Linked DNA regions of Xenopus tropicalis. Each later gene encodes a partner of the first gene's protein in a complex. Links are inferred from orthologs where the notes say so. Each region holds a gene or a part of one and is shown on either strand. Other genes may lie near its edges.

Region 1 (3,610 bases):
GTTTTCAAGTCGGAACTTTTCCAATTCGGGTCGGATTCGTGGGTTAGTAAATCAGCCCCTTAGTATATTGAATTATTGTATTATGCAGATACCTTGCATTTTTTTTCTGCTTTCTCCAGGATTTAAAATATGATGTTGGAGGGGGAGAGAAATTTGACTCTCTGACAGATCTCGTGGAACATTATAAAAAAAATCCTATGGTTGAGACTTTAGGAACTGTACTGCAGCTAAAACAGGTAAGACTAATTAAACATGACAATTAACCCCTTGTACCTATTTACCCATATGCTAAGAATTTAGCTTTTCTTTTAGCCACTGAACACAACGCGGATTAATGCTGCAGAAATTGAAAGCCGGGTAAAGGAACTTAGCAAGCCAGCAGAGACTGCAGATAAATTTAAGCAAGGATTCTGGGAAGAATTTGAGGTACTTTTATAGTATTGTGTCCAATTTGTTACCCTCTGTTTGGCCTGTTATTTGTGTGGTTTTTTTTATATTCATTTGCAGTTACGGTTTGATGCTTAACATTAGAATGCTCCCCATCAGTTTCCTTTAATGATAATTAAAGTCAATATGCTATGGAGTTAATTTCTCCAAACAAACACAATCATAGATTGTTAGGACACAAAGATGAAAATAAGAGGGGCCATTGATTTATGTGTATAGAGAAGTAGATTCTGCATCATTTTTGTTCCATTGCTGCAGTAATTACATTTTGAAAGATTACTGATAAAGCATTTAATTTTACAGACTTTAAAAGCACTAAGGATGTTTTTTTTTATTAATGTTTGTCTTTGTAACGTGCATATAATTTAATTTTTTCCTACTAAAGACATGCTATTTATACCCCTTCCCAGGACACTTTGCAGCATTGCAGTATTCTCTCAGTAATCTAGATCTGCACTCCTTAGGTTGTACTGCAGTGTATGACACAAATTGCAGGTAGTTTATATTCGCTGCTTAATGAAAGTTCCTAAATGAAAAGACACAGTGAACTAACACACAGGAAAAGAGGAAGAGATCTCCAAATACAGGCTTTCATACATAACCTTAATTGTAGTAAAGCCTCTGAAGGCAGCAGAAGTAATTAATGTAGTTAAAACCTTATGTGCAACATAAGGGCTACCACACCTACAAAAAACTTTAATTACAATTTAATTATCCAGCTGCTTATCGATGCATAAAACTAACTGCAGCAATATGGAAGTCTGATGTCCCCGCAACATGCTTCCAGTGTATTTAAATAGTGGTTCTTTGTAAATGAACTCATTACCAAATGGACTGTCTCTTTACATTTGAGATGGCTTTGTGAACTCCTGTCTGAATTAGATGTGTTAGAACCCAGAATAAGTTTTCTTATGTGCTGCAGAAAACACACTGCCTTTTTTAATAATAAAGTAGAAGCACCAATGATTTTTTTTTCTGACTATATTGTCTGTTCTGAGACATGTAAACCTGATTTGATATGGTCCCCTTTTAGCCTTGCCCAATCAAGAGTAACCCACCATCACTGCTTTGCACTATTTAGTTTGCCTGCAATACAGCATGTATTATAGTAGAATTAACTACCTGTATTCAGTCAGAGCTACTTCTTCGTCTTGTCTTGGCCCACGGCCATTATGTGCGCTCTGCAGTCCACAGAGCAGTTCTTGGATTCAAGAGTTTGACAATAGTGTGGTTCGTATCAATAAAGTATGACTAACTCATCACAACAAGTTTAAAAAAATAATTTTACTCAGATATCCATATTAAAAAAGAATAAAAACCCCAGAGGATTCCGCCTTGTGCGTATTCTTAGGCAGTTATGTCTTTTAATTAATATATATGTAAACATTGAGCTCTTTCAATTGCAATTGTCTTGTTTTGGAACTTATGGGGATATAACTGCTTATGACTAAGTACCAGAAGGGTGCGAAACACGTAAGGCGAATCCTGTGTATGCTTTTTTTAATATGGATATTTGAATAAAATAAATTTTAGATATGTACTGTAGTTATGCCCATTAATCTGCAGGCAGAATCCCATTGACTCCTTTTTTTAACTGGCCAGTTTTGATCTCCAATAGCAGTAATTTGTGATTAGTGTGATTAGGTTTAACTTTAAGGGAAGTCCTCCCAAGAATTCTGTGAGACTACTTATTTTGTGTTATATTTGTTTTTCAGACTTTACAACAGCAAGAATGCAAACTGCTGTATAGCAGGAAAGAGGGACAAAGACAAGAGAACAAAAATAAGAACCGATACAAGAATATATTACCTTGTGAGTACTGACTGATTTGATTCTGCCCCATGTTAGTTAAGAGATGTGAGATTTATCATGCTGGTATTCAACTAGGGCAGGACTGTATGAAGTAAGAAAGAAACTCCCCAGTAACAATATTCCAACATCTAGTGGAAAGCCTACCCAGATGAGTAGCAAATGTTATAGCAGCAAAGAGAACACCAACTCAAGTTCATACCCTTGATTTTGGAATACGAAGTTGGAAAGGCAGTTATTGGAATACTTTTGGCCACATATTTTACCTGGAGCTTTCCAGTTAAGCATCTAATTATGACTGTTTTAAATTATTTTTATGCAACTTGGGGGTGCTAAAATCCCAGAAATAACTTTGTGGTAATGCAGTCTTATGTTAAATGGTGTCTGAGGATTTCCTTTTGTCGGTAAGAACAAAAATATATTTATTTGAATTGACATGCCAGGTATTTTTGAACCTTGATCCAAAAGCCTTGAATCGATGTTTTACTTGAACCAAAAGCCTTTTTTATTACAGTGTGTTTGCTTTGAGCTTTATTGTCTACAAACGTCTGGAGTAAAAAAGTTAACGTAGAAAGAAAAACTAGAGAAACCCTGGTGGGATATATAATATTGCAGTAGCACAAGTAAATTTATGGCTGCTAATTATTTTTCAGATCTCGCAGAAGGTTTCTGTTAATAATAAATGACTAGGTGCTAATTAGTTTTTGTTATTTTCACCTGCACTAGGTTTGTGGTTGATGTATTCTTTACCCACTGCAACCATATATAATCATTACTGAACAGACAACTAAGCCACAAAGAGGTAGTAGCAGCACTCTATTATAAGGAACTATTGTGCCAAGCAAGCAAAGTGAGTGTTCATAGTGCTGTGTCATTAGTAGAAATAGCTTTTGGTTTTGAGAAGGCAATTGTTCTGTTTTAATGCATCTCCACTTTTTGGTGATTGCCTAAATGTATATACAAATACACGCACTCATGCATAAGCAGTCTGTCCCTTTCATATGAAGCAGGACTGGACAAAGGGGTAGTCAGGGTAGGCACCTGCCAAGGGCGATATTTGTTCCTTCAGATCCTTGATTTTGCAATAAGCAATGGGGATGAAGGATGGCTAGTGCAAGTTACAGTAGCAGTGGCAAAGGACCTGTTGAGGAGGGTTGGTGATTTTGTTTCTTGCAGCTGAGGCAGCAGCAGAGGACTGGAACCAAGAATGGAAGTTTGCTAAGGGTTGCCTCGGGCGCCCAATTCTTTTGGATCATCTCTGATATGAAGTACTTTTATGGGAACTTGTTTTAGATTAATCTATGCCAGTTTTGCGGTGGTTAGCAGAGGCTTATGTGATACTATGCAGATGTAC
Region 2 (4,202 bases), about 100 Mb from region 1:
AGTGGGAAGAGACATTTTTAAATATATCAGCACGTGATGTGTTGCCAGCACTCAACTTTCAGCCTTTAGCCTGTGTGCAGGAATCTGCCCTCTCAGCAAACGTTCACAGTTACGTGTAGTTTCCTGACAGCCTTATTCCCACACAGCTTATTCCCAGAAAAAAAACTGTTTGGAAACAGAAGTTGGCAAACCAGAATAACAAACATTGACCAGAGGTCCCAGTTCCAGTCTCATAATAAAATAAACGGATCATCCGCTTTTCATAAATAGGAAGGCAAAGAAAGAAGTCTGTACCCAACAGCTATATACTTTAGCAAACTGGAAAAGCAATGTGCGCTTTTTTGTCCTGCAATTAAAATGCAACTTAAAGTGTGGAAAACTTAATATATACTGTCTTTTAAACACTGACTATTGGCAACATGAAATAACTCGCTACATTTCTGCCCTTATACCTATTTTACCAATGTTTGCCTGTCTTTTCAATGGGGAGTGTAGCAAGATGATGGCCCAGGACAAACACAGTACAGCTAAAAGATGCAGCAAGTGGTAATGCTGACAGTGTGGCACAGGTAATAGGATAACCTGTGCAACTATTCCACACTTCGAGACCGGTAACCTACAGAGCACTGAATAAACATGATGTGACAGGAGGCTAGCAAGATGCAAAATCTCAGTATAGCAGGAGAACGAATAACAGCTTCTAAATTGTCACTATAGCTTTAAGGGGGACTTACAAACCCAAAGCATAGGTAAACAACGCTCCAGAGGGAAAGGCAGCATGCTAAAATAAAACTAAAGCAATATATGACATCATTCAGCACCTACAGTAAATTCCGAGATACCAGGAATTCCATATACTCTATAAATGCACGGAGTCTGTTTTCTTGGGTATTTATACTTTCATGAAACTTCTGTGTGACTTGTTATAAAATTTTCAGTATTAGTTTCCATTATCTAGTATAATACACAACTGGCAAATATGGACACAATGATAAACACTTAGGGCAGTGGCACACAGGGAGATTAGTCGCTTTGCGACAAATCTTTGTTACCGCAAGCGACTAATCTCCCCACAATGCCATCCCACTGGCAAGAATGTAAATCGCTGGTGGGATGGCATACGCTTCGCTTTGTTTTCCCGAAGTCCCCTGAAGTTGCCTCTCAAGGAAACTTTAGGCGACTTCGGGAAAACAAAGCGACATGGGATGGCATTGCGGGGAGATTAGCCGCCCGCGGTAATGAATATTTGTCGTGGGGCGACTAATCTCCCGATGTGCCACTACCTTGAGGCCTGTGACACGGCTAATCTCCCCGCAATGCCATCCCACCGGTTAGAATGTAAATCGCCCGTGGGATGGCACAGGCGTCTCTGCGATTTACCGAAGTTGCCTTGAGAGGAAACTTAAGCACCTTTGGTAAATGGCGGCGCCGTGTATGTCATCCCACCAGCGATTTACATTCTAGCCGGTGGGATGGCATTGTGGGGAGATTAGTCGCCAGCGACAATGGAGATTTGTTGCGGTGCGACTAATCTCCCCGTGTGTCACTGCCCTTAGGGTGAAGACACAGAGCTACTAGTAGCAGCTACTAAAATAGACAATGCTGATCATTTCCTGATAATTGCCTCTTCATGTGTTTTAGCAGAGGCAATTCTCAGTACTGTCTATAGCAGGGTATTTTTTGGAGTCTAGTACCCTTAAAATAAGTAGCTTGGTGTGTCTTCACCCTCATCAGTAAAGCAAATGGGGCAGTTAAGAGTACTACCCAGCTGGCCTGTGGCCTCATCCTTTCCTCCAGACCACAGCTACTAACTGTGACATCTTTTATTACTGATTTTAGACTGCAGACATGATAACTGTAGATGAAAGGCCATAAAGCAAGGATGGGCAACCTGCTGCATCAAACCATAAACACTCCCGGCCAGAGAGTACTTCTGGGAGTTGTAGTTCAGCAGCATGTAGGGAACCCTGTCTGTAAGAGTTGCCGGGCAGTGTAGTAGTGCAACAGATAGAGGGTTGCCGCTGCTCCAAGCCTTGAATCCTTATTTATGTTGCGAGCTGGAGGGCATATTGTGCCTGATAAAGGAGTGATGTCACAGCTATAAGTACATAGTGAGAGAATGGCAGGGCACCCGTTAGCAGCACAGCTGCAGAATGCCCAGTAGCACTGCAAACTTCCACGTTATACAAACAATAACATGTGGCCTCTGGGAAGGAAATGAAGGCGCAATCTACTTACGAAACGTTTCAACTTTTTCTCCGGGGGGGATTTGCGGAGCCATCCCGAGCATACCACCTCCCCGCCGCCTCCAGCCCCCACCCCTCCGCCGCTGCCACTGCTCATCATCCTGCTCCTCGGCGCTCCCCTCCTGCTCTCCGGGTTAGTAGTTTGGGGCTCCAGTATCCAGCTGCTCCTGCGGCCCCACCGGCGCGTTGTGTCCCGCAGGGAAAGGGGGGAACTGCGCAACTTTGTGTTGTTCCTGTGTCGGAAAGTTGCGTGTCCGGGATTCCCAGTCCCAGTGAGAGTACCTACAGCGTTGTTATTATGACTAGGGTGAGTCCATGAGTGCAGCAGCTGAGAGGGGCGCACATAAAGGATGACTAAACTACTCCAGCTCTCCACCCTTCGCCCCCTTTCCCCGACAGGAGTCGCTGCTTGGCCTCTTCCGCCTCCTTCCTTTGGACACAAGTTTTTTTTCCCAGAAGAAAAGGCGCAGGCGGGCTAAGCTTTATAAGCCCAGTGCCATTACGGAGGGCAGCACCGGGGATTCGCGTTTGAGCAAAGAAATAAATCGCTTTATCCGTCTCCTCCTGGAAACGCACTGGATATAACACATTTTTTATCTCGTAACAGTAAATCCTTTCGCTCTCCTCCCTTTCCTCTCTCTTTCTCTCTCTTTTCCTCCTCCTCCTCCTCTTCCCCGCCCCTCCATGCCAGCGTCGTCTTCGTTCCCATCCCTCTCACGCCTCCAATCTCGGCCGCCAGTTTGTTCCAGTGGAAACTCACTGACTACTAAAAGTTTCCTATCGAGTAGTTATCGGTAGCACTCCTGCGATTGTCGCGGCTCTTCTCCACACCTCAGAACTGAGCTTTCCTTTTGCCTTGGCCATTTCTTCATGGCCATACCGATAACTGGGGTGTGAAGAGGCTTGTGCTTGCAGTGCAGGGATTCTGGTATTTTTCCGCCAAGTTTCCCCAGTGACTCTTTGTGGGGCCTCTGTGACTTGGTATACATGAGTTTATACATGAGTTTTTAATTCAGTGGAATGCTAAATTCTCCACTAAACATTTGGCCAAATGCTGGACTGAATCTTAACTTTAATTTGCACGTTCAGTGTTAGGGAGTTGAAAATGGTGTCAAATGGGAGCAACATTTTGTTGTCTTAGGTTGTCTTGTCCTGAGCTCTTGAGTCACACAGGGATTTAGTTTAGTAATGACTAAAGATTCAGGCCAGTCGGAATCCAGCAAAAAGTGCTAGTGTCCTGACACATTCCTAGTACAGGTATGAGACCTGTTATCCCGAATGCCTGAGACCTGGGGTTTTCTAGATAAGGGATCTTTTGTAATTTGGATCTCCAGAACTTAAAGCTGGCCATACACGTGGCGATCTGACGATGTTTGGTGCGACCATCGGTCGCACCAAACATCGTCAGATCCGCCACACACAGTCAGGGCTGAAACAGCGGATAAGGAGGTAGAAACAATAGGATTTCTACCTCCTTCTGCCGATTCAGCGCTGATGGCAGATTTTGGTCAGGCGCCTTCTATGGCGCCCGATCAAAATTTTCTAACCTGGCCGATCGGTGAGTCGACCGAAATCAGCAGCTTCCTGCGATATCGGTCGACTCGCCGACATGCCATACACGCACCGAATATCGTACGAAACGAGGTTTCGTACGATAGTATCGGTGCGTGTATGGCCAGCTTTAGTCTGCTAAAAATCATTCAAATATTAAATAAACCCAATAAGATTGTTTTGCCTCCAATAAGGATGAATTATATCTTAGTTGGGATCAAGTACAAGATTCTGTTTTATTACAGAGAAAAAGGAAATCAGTTTTAAAAATTAGAATGATTTGCTTGTAATGGAGTGTATGGGAGATGGCCTTTCTGTAATTCTGAACTTTCTGGATAATGGGTTTCCGGATAAGGAATCCCATACCTGTAGTTAGATATTTCTACTGTACATAAAAGGGATGTC
Region 3 (4,204 bases), on another chromosome or scaffold:
AAGACAGGCCTGGACTGGCAATCTGTGTATTCCAGCAAATGAGGGGAAGCTGTAAGATGCCATAGTCAGTCACTATTTGGGCCTGTGGGGGGCTGTTGGGGGCTGTTGGGGGCTCTGTGTATTGAAATGCCAGGGCCTATTTTAAATTCCAGTCCAGATCTGATAAAAGGGCTGGGGCTGCGGGAGAGTGGGCAGGTTTGTGCAGATTGGAGGCAAAGTTTGGATATAATTGGGTGTTGGCAGATTGGGGGGCATGACCTCTTTATATAGGTGCCCATTCTGTTTCATGGTAGGACCCTCAACCCAGGGGGCCCAAATAACCAGTGGGCCATTAATTGTGCCCCCCCTTAGTAGTATGTGGCACCATAATCACTGATGGTGGCCCTGTGTAGTAAAAACATGCCATATTCCAAATACATCAGTGATGTATAAAACATTGGCCACCTAATCTTTGTAAATCTGATTCCATGTTTCTTTGTTACTGCGACTGGATTCTCAAGTATTCCACCCAATAAAGGGGCACAATGTTTTATGGAAGGTTTGCATTTCTCTAAAGGTGATGTAAACACTGCTGTACAACTCTGGGATGCCCAAATCTTGCTGAACTGCATCTTTGAAGATTCCCCCACATATTATCAGGGTTTAAAGCATAACGGGAGCAGTAGCGCAGCAACACACTGTCCCACTGCACCCCTTAGCTGTCTAAAACATAGGGGCCCTTAAGCTGGCCATACATGTAATAAAACTGTACATATAATCGTATTGGTTGGTATATGGTGGCCAGCCAATCCAAACAGATATCCTTGTACCACATTTGATTTCTTGTAAATTATAGGTTCATTTAGCACATGTGTCATCTGCCAGATTGTGTATGGGTACCTTTACCCACGTATGTTCCAATGTCCATCAAAATACGTTGTATCAAAATACTTAGATTGCTTTTATATTCAAATAAATCCATTTATGTGAGTGTAACATGCAGCTACCCAGTTTGTTATATATTAGTATTGGTGTAGCCATTGCAGCAGTCTATAGTTTATATATTATTTGTACCACTAATGGATTACAAAAAGAATAGTCAAGTGACTGATGATGTAGCTAAAAATGCTCGGGGCTGGGGGCAGATTTAACCTGAGCAACAATTATAAACCCACCGGTTTGTTGTTATAATAGGAGTCAGTTTCATATGAGTTGGCTTTAATAAAGCCATGAGTCAGCAGCTGGCATCAGTTGTGAATTTTCTACACATCCCCTCATATCCTGAGAAAGAGAAAAAAAAAGTGAAGACAAAAAAAAAAGAGAGAGAGAAAATGAAGCAGAATTGAAAACAGACTCCCAGCCACCCTGACACAGAGGGGGGAGTCATTGGGAGAGGTGGGCGTTACACATGGAAAAAGAAAGGGAGGATTGGAAAGAAGTAGAGAGCAAGACAGACTGTTTAGGCAGGAAAAGTGCAACTCTCTTCTGATTTCCTGAAAGATGGAACAATTGTGATTTTTGTATCACTGAAGCTGCCATGTTGGCACATGTTTCCATATACTGAAATATCAGGATAAACTTTTCCCCGCTCATCTCTGCTTCTAATTTCCATCTGTCTGAAGACGTCCCATAGAGCCGGCTGAACTGGAGGATGCTGCTCTGATGGACTTTATTGCTCAATAACCAAGGAATGCCCCAAAACAACTCTTTTGGCAAACCCCTTTTCCTGACTCGCGCTGTATGAAGCCCAATGGAAAAAGCTGTCAAACATTCCAGCGTTAGAAAAATTTCACTTTCAAGACCTCACTGAGAAGAAATTCAGACAAGACAGAAACAAACAGGAAGAGCTCGGGGAGATTTGGGATCCCTGCTAAACTGCTCCATCTGGCAGGAGTGGGACCCAGGTAAGTGAAGCTTTGCACAGAGATGGGAAATGGGGCGTTAGGAAAACTGCCAGGCACTATTGTTGCCTTGGCTACCCACTAGCTGTCAAAGTGAAAACAAAAGTGGGGAACAAGTGGGCAATAGTAGGAAAACTGCCTTACTGCTCTGCTGAAAGCAAAGTGAAGAGAAGAGATTCCTTTTACATGTGTTTGTGTGACAGTGGTGCTAATTCCCAAAGGAATGGATCAGAACTTACCTGCAGATTGCAGTTTGACAAGCACCTAAAGCCTTGATATGTTATGGGTTTAATATGCTAGCAGTAACCAATGGAGATGCTGTACCAGGTCCCAAAGAAAGTAATTCTGTGGATAAAATGTAACCCCTTCAGAACTTATCCAAGTTATCTACCTTCTTTCTGCATTGGTGCCCAACTCCGTCTATTCATATGGGGCTAAAGGCTTGCTTAGTATGCCACCCTGGGATGCATTGTGCCAGTTTTCTCATGCATGTGGTACCATCAGTCAGAGGACAGATCCTATGAACCTAAGCTTTGCACTCTGGAGTAGTTTTAAAGTTCAGCTCCACTTCTGCCAACTGATGCAGTTTGTCACTAACTATGAGCAGCAGACAAGCTCCCAATACAGATCCTGCCCCTTGTGCCCGTTGATGTGCCTAATGATGGAGTAAAAAAATGCTTCAAGTAAAAGGCTGCCTTTTGCTAGTGATCCAGAGTAATAAAGTGCCCTCCAATACAGCTCTCCTAGCCTGGCACAACCTTTATTCTCTTTACCCAATTGTACCCAACTGGCATAAAGAAGGGGTGGCTCTTTTATGTATGTATGTATTGTATGTATGTATATCTTTATTTATAAAGCGCTAATTATGTACGCAGCGCTGTACAGTAGAATACATTAATACAAACAGGGGGTTAAAGATAATGGATAAATACAAAGTACAACAATAAATACAAATAAATACAAGGTACAGTTGCAATAAGAGTCAGAAACAAGATGAACGAGGTCCCTGCCCCGTAGAGCTTACAATCTATATGGGAGGGGTAACTAACAGACACAAATGGTCAAGCTTCAGTCAGGAAAGTCATATTCATGGGGGGGGGGGTCTGCCAATTTGTTAGGTAACCCCTCAACCTAGTAACTATTGCTAAACTTTGCACTGCAGGGAACGATTTCTGTTTAACATGGGTCAAGCTATTAATCTTTGATTATGTAGCTTTTAGATTGTAAGCTCTGTTTGTACCCCTTGTATCAGTATTCGTATGTAAGTTTACAACCTTCTACTGTACAGCACTATGGAATGATGACACTTTAAAAATACTTGGTATTAAAATAATTTTCTTACAATCTACTCATCTTTAATGCAAATAAATGGGTTGCAAATCAGGTACTTTATACTTAATAATTTCTAATAACTTAATTTTTCTTACAAGGCTGCTACCATGCCTGGGTTGTTAGTTCATCATTTGCTTGGTAAGGCCAGACAAGCTCCCTACAATTTCTCATGATAACTTGGAGGACACTGTTATTATGGATGTGTTTACATTTTACCTCACTAGTGGTATGGCAGCTCCCACCTTTGTTAATAAATGCACATAAAAGACAGATAGATAGATAGATAGATAGATAGATAGATGTACACACAGAGCTATGTCTAAATATTTATAGAAAAATACAATTTAAAAGGGCCTATATTCCCCCTACCTGTGCTGGCCAACTATCCTACACAGACATTCTACAAACTCACTGCAAAAGAGGCTGCAAGCAATAGTGCTGATTTATGAGCGGCGCGGGGAGTTGTGGAAGAGAACAGTTAAATGCCTATTCGCCAGAACAATGCATTCCAAATGAGCCCAGCCAGGGAGATGGCCCAGCTCCAGCTTAATGTCGCACTTTGTGTAAAACAAGTGCTTTGCCCTTAAAGACACAGTATTGCATTTCGCGTCTCCGCTGCCAAAGCTCGCTGCGTGCTGACAGGAATGTTTGGAAACAAATAAGATTATCCAACTGGGATAGAGGATATGCTGTAATATGATTTCATAACTCCACAACTCCGTAAATCAGAGCTGTCCAGCTTTTTATGTGTATTGGGTCAGTTTACGTGACACACCATGTGTTCCAGGGCCAGAAAGTTTGAGCTGTACAGGCTGGGGATGCTGGGAGTTCAAATCTTGGCTGTGACTATTGAAATGTAATGGCAAAATGAGCCAACTCACAAAGAGCATGGATAGTTCTTATTTACCCTAGTGCAGTAACCAATAAGATATGTTTCTTTTGATTGGCTGATATGTGGTAATTACTTATGCAGATCTGCCCAGTGTTACTAA

The links.
Region 2: the proteins of ptpn11 (region 1) and gab1 are in contact, whole or in part, in a crystal structure (PDB 4QSY), measured with the Homo sapiens proteins. The link is inferred for Xenopus tropicalis from reciprocal best matches to the Homo sapiens genes PTPN11 and GAB1. Residues at the interface, in NP_002825.3 of Homo sapiens: Gly13, Val14, Glu17, Arg32, Pro33, Ser34, Lys35, Ser36, Thr42, Arg47, Thr52, His53, Ile54, Lys55, Leu65, Gly67, Gly68, Tyr81, Gln87, Leu88, Lys89, Glu90, Lys91, Ile96; in NP_002030.2 of Homo sapiens: Lys623, Val625, Glu626, Tyr627, Leu628, Asp629, Leu630, Asp631, Leu632, Asp633.
Region 3: the proteins of ptpn11 (region 1) and pdgfrb are in contact, whole or in part, in a crystal structure (PDB 1AYA), measured with the Mus musculus proteins. The link is inferred for Xenopus tropicalis from reciprocal best matches to the Homo sapiens genes PTPN11 and PDGFRB. Residues at the interface, in NP_001103462.1 of Mus musculus: Gly13, Val14, Glu17, Arg32, Pro33, Ser34, Lys35, Ser36, Thr42, Thr52, His53, Ile54, Lys55, Leu65, Gly68, Gln87, Leu88, Lys89, Glu90, Lys91, Gly93, Ile96; in NP_032835.2 of Mus musculus: Ser1005, Val1006, Leu1007, Tyr1008, Thr1009, Ala1010, Val1011, Gln1012, Pro1013.

The regions. Positions count from the first base shown.
Region 1 is NC_030677.2:163,821,438-163,825,047, forward strand, and holds part of ptpn11 (tyrosine-protein phosphatase non-receptor type 11), read left to right. Parts: intron 1-119; coding exon 120-236; intron 237-312; coding exon 313-426; intron 427-2,162; coding exon 2,163-2,259; intron 2,260-3,610. UniProt on the Homo sapiens protein: Acts downstream of various receptor and cytoplasmic protein tyrosine kinases to participate in the signal transduction from the cell surface to the nucleus. Positively regulates MAPK signal transduction pathway. Dephosphorylates GAB1, ARHGAP35 and EGFR.
Region 2 is NC_030677.2:59,326,555-59,330,756, forward strand, and holds the start of gab1 (GRB2-associated-binding protein 1), read right to left. Parts: upstream 2,905-4,202; 5' UTR 2,347-2,904; coding exon 2,239-2,346; intron 1-2,238. UniProt on the Homo sapiens protein: Adapter protein that plays a role in intracellular signaling cascades triggered by activated receptor-type kinases. Plays a role in FGFR1 signaling. Probably involved in signaling by the epidermal growth factor receptor (EGFR) and the insulin receptor (INSR).
Region 3 is NC_030679.2:21,190,827-21,195,030, forward strand, and holds the start of pdgfrb (platelet-derived growth factor receptor beta), read left to right. Parts: upstream 1-1,345; 5' UTR 1,346-1,883; intron 1,884-4,204. UniProt on the Homo sapiens protein: Tyrosine-protein kinase that acts as a cell-surface receptor for homodimeric PDGFB and PDGFD and for heterodimers formed by PDGFA and PDGFB, and plays an essential role in the regulation of embryonic development, cell proliferation, survival, differentiation, chemotaxis and migration.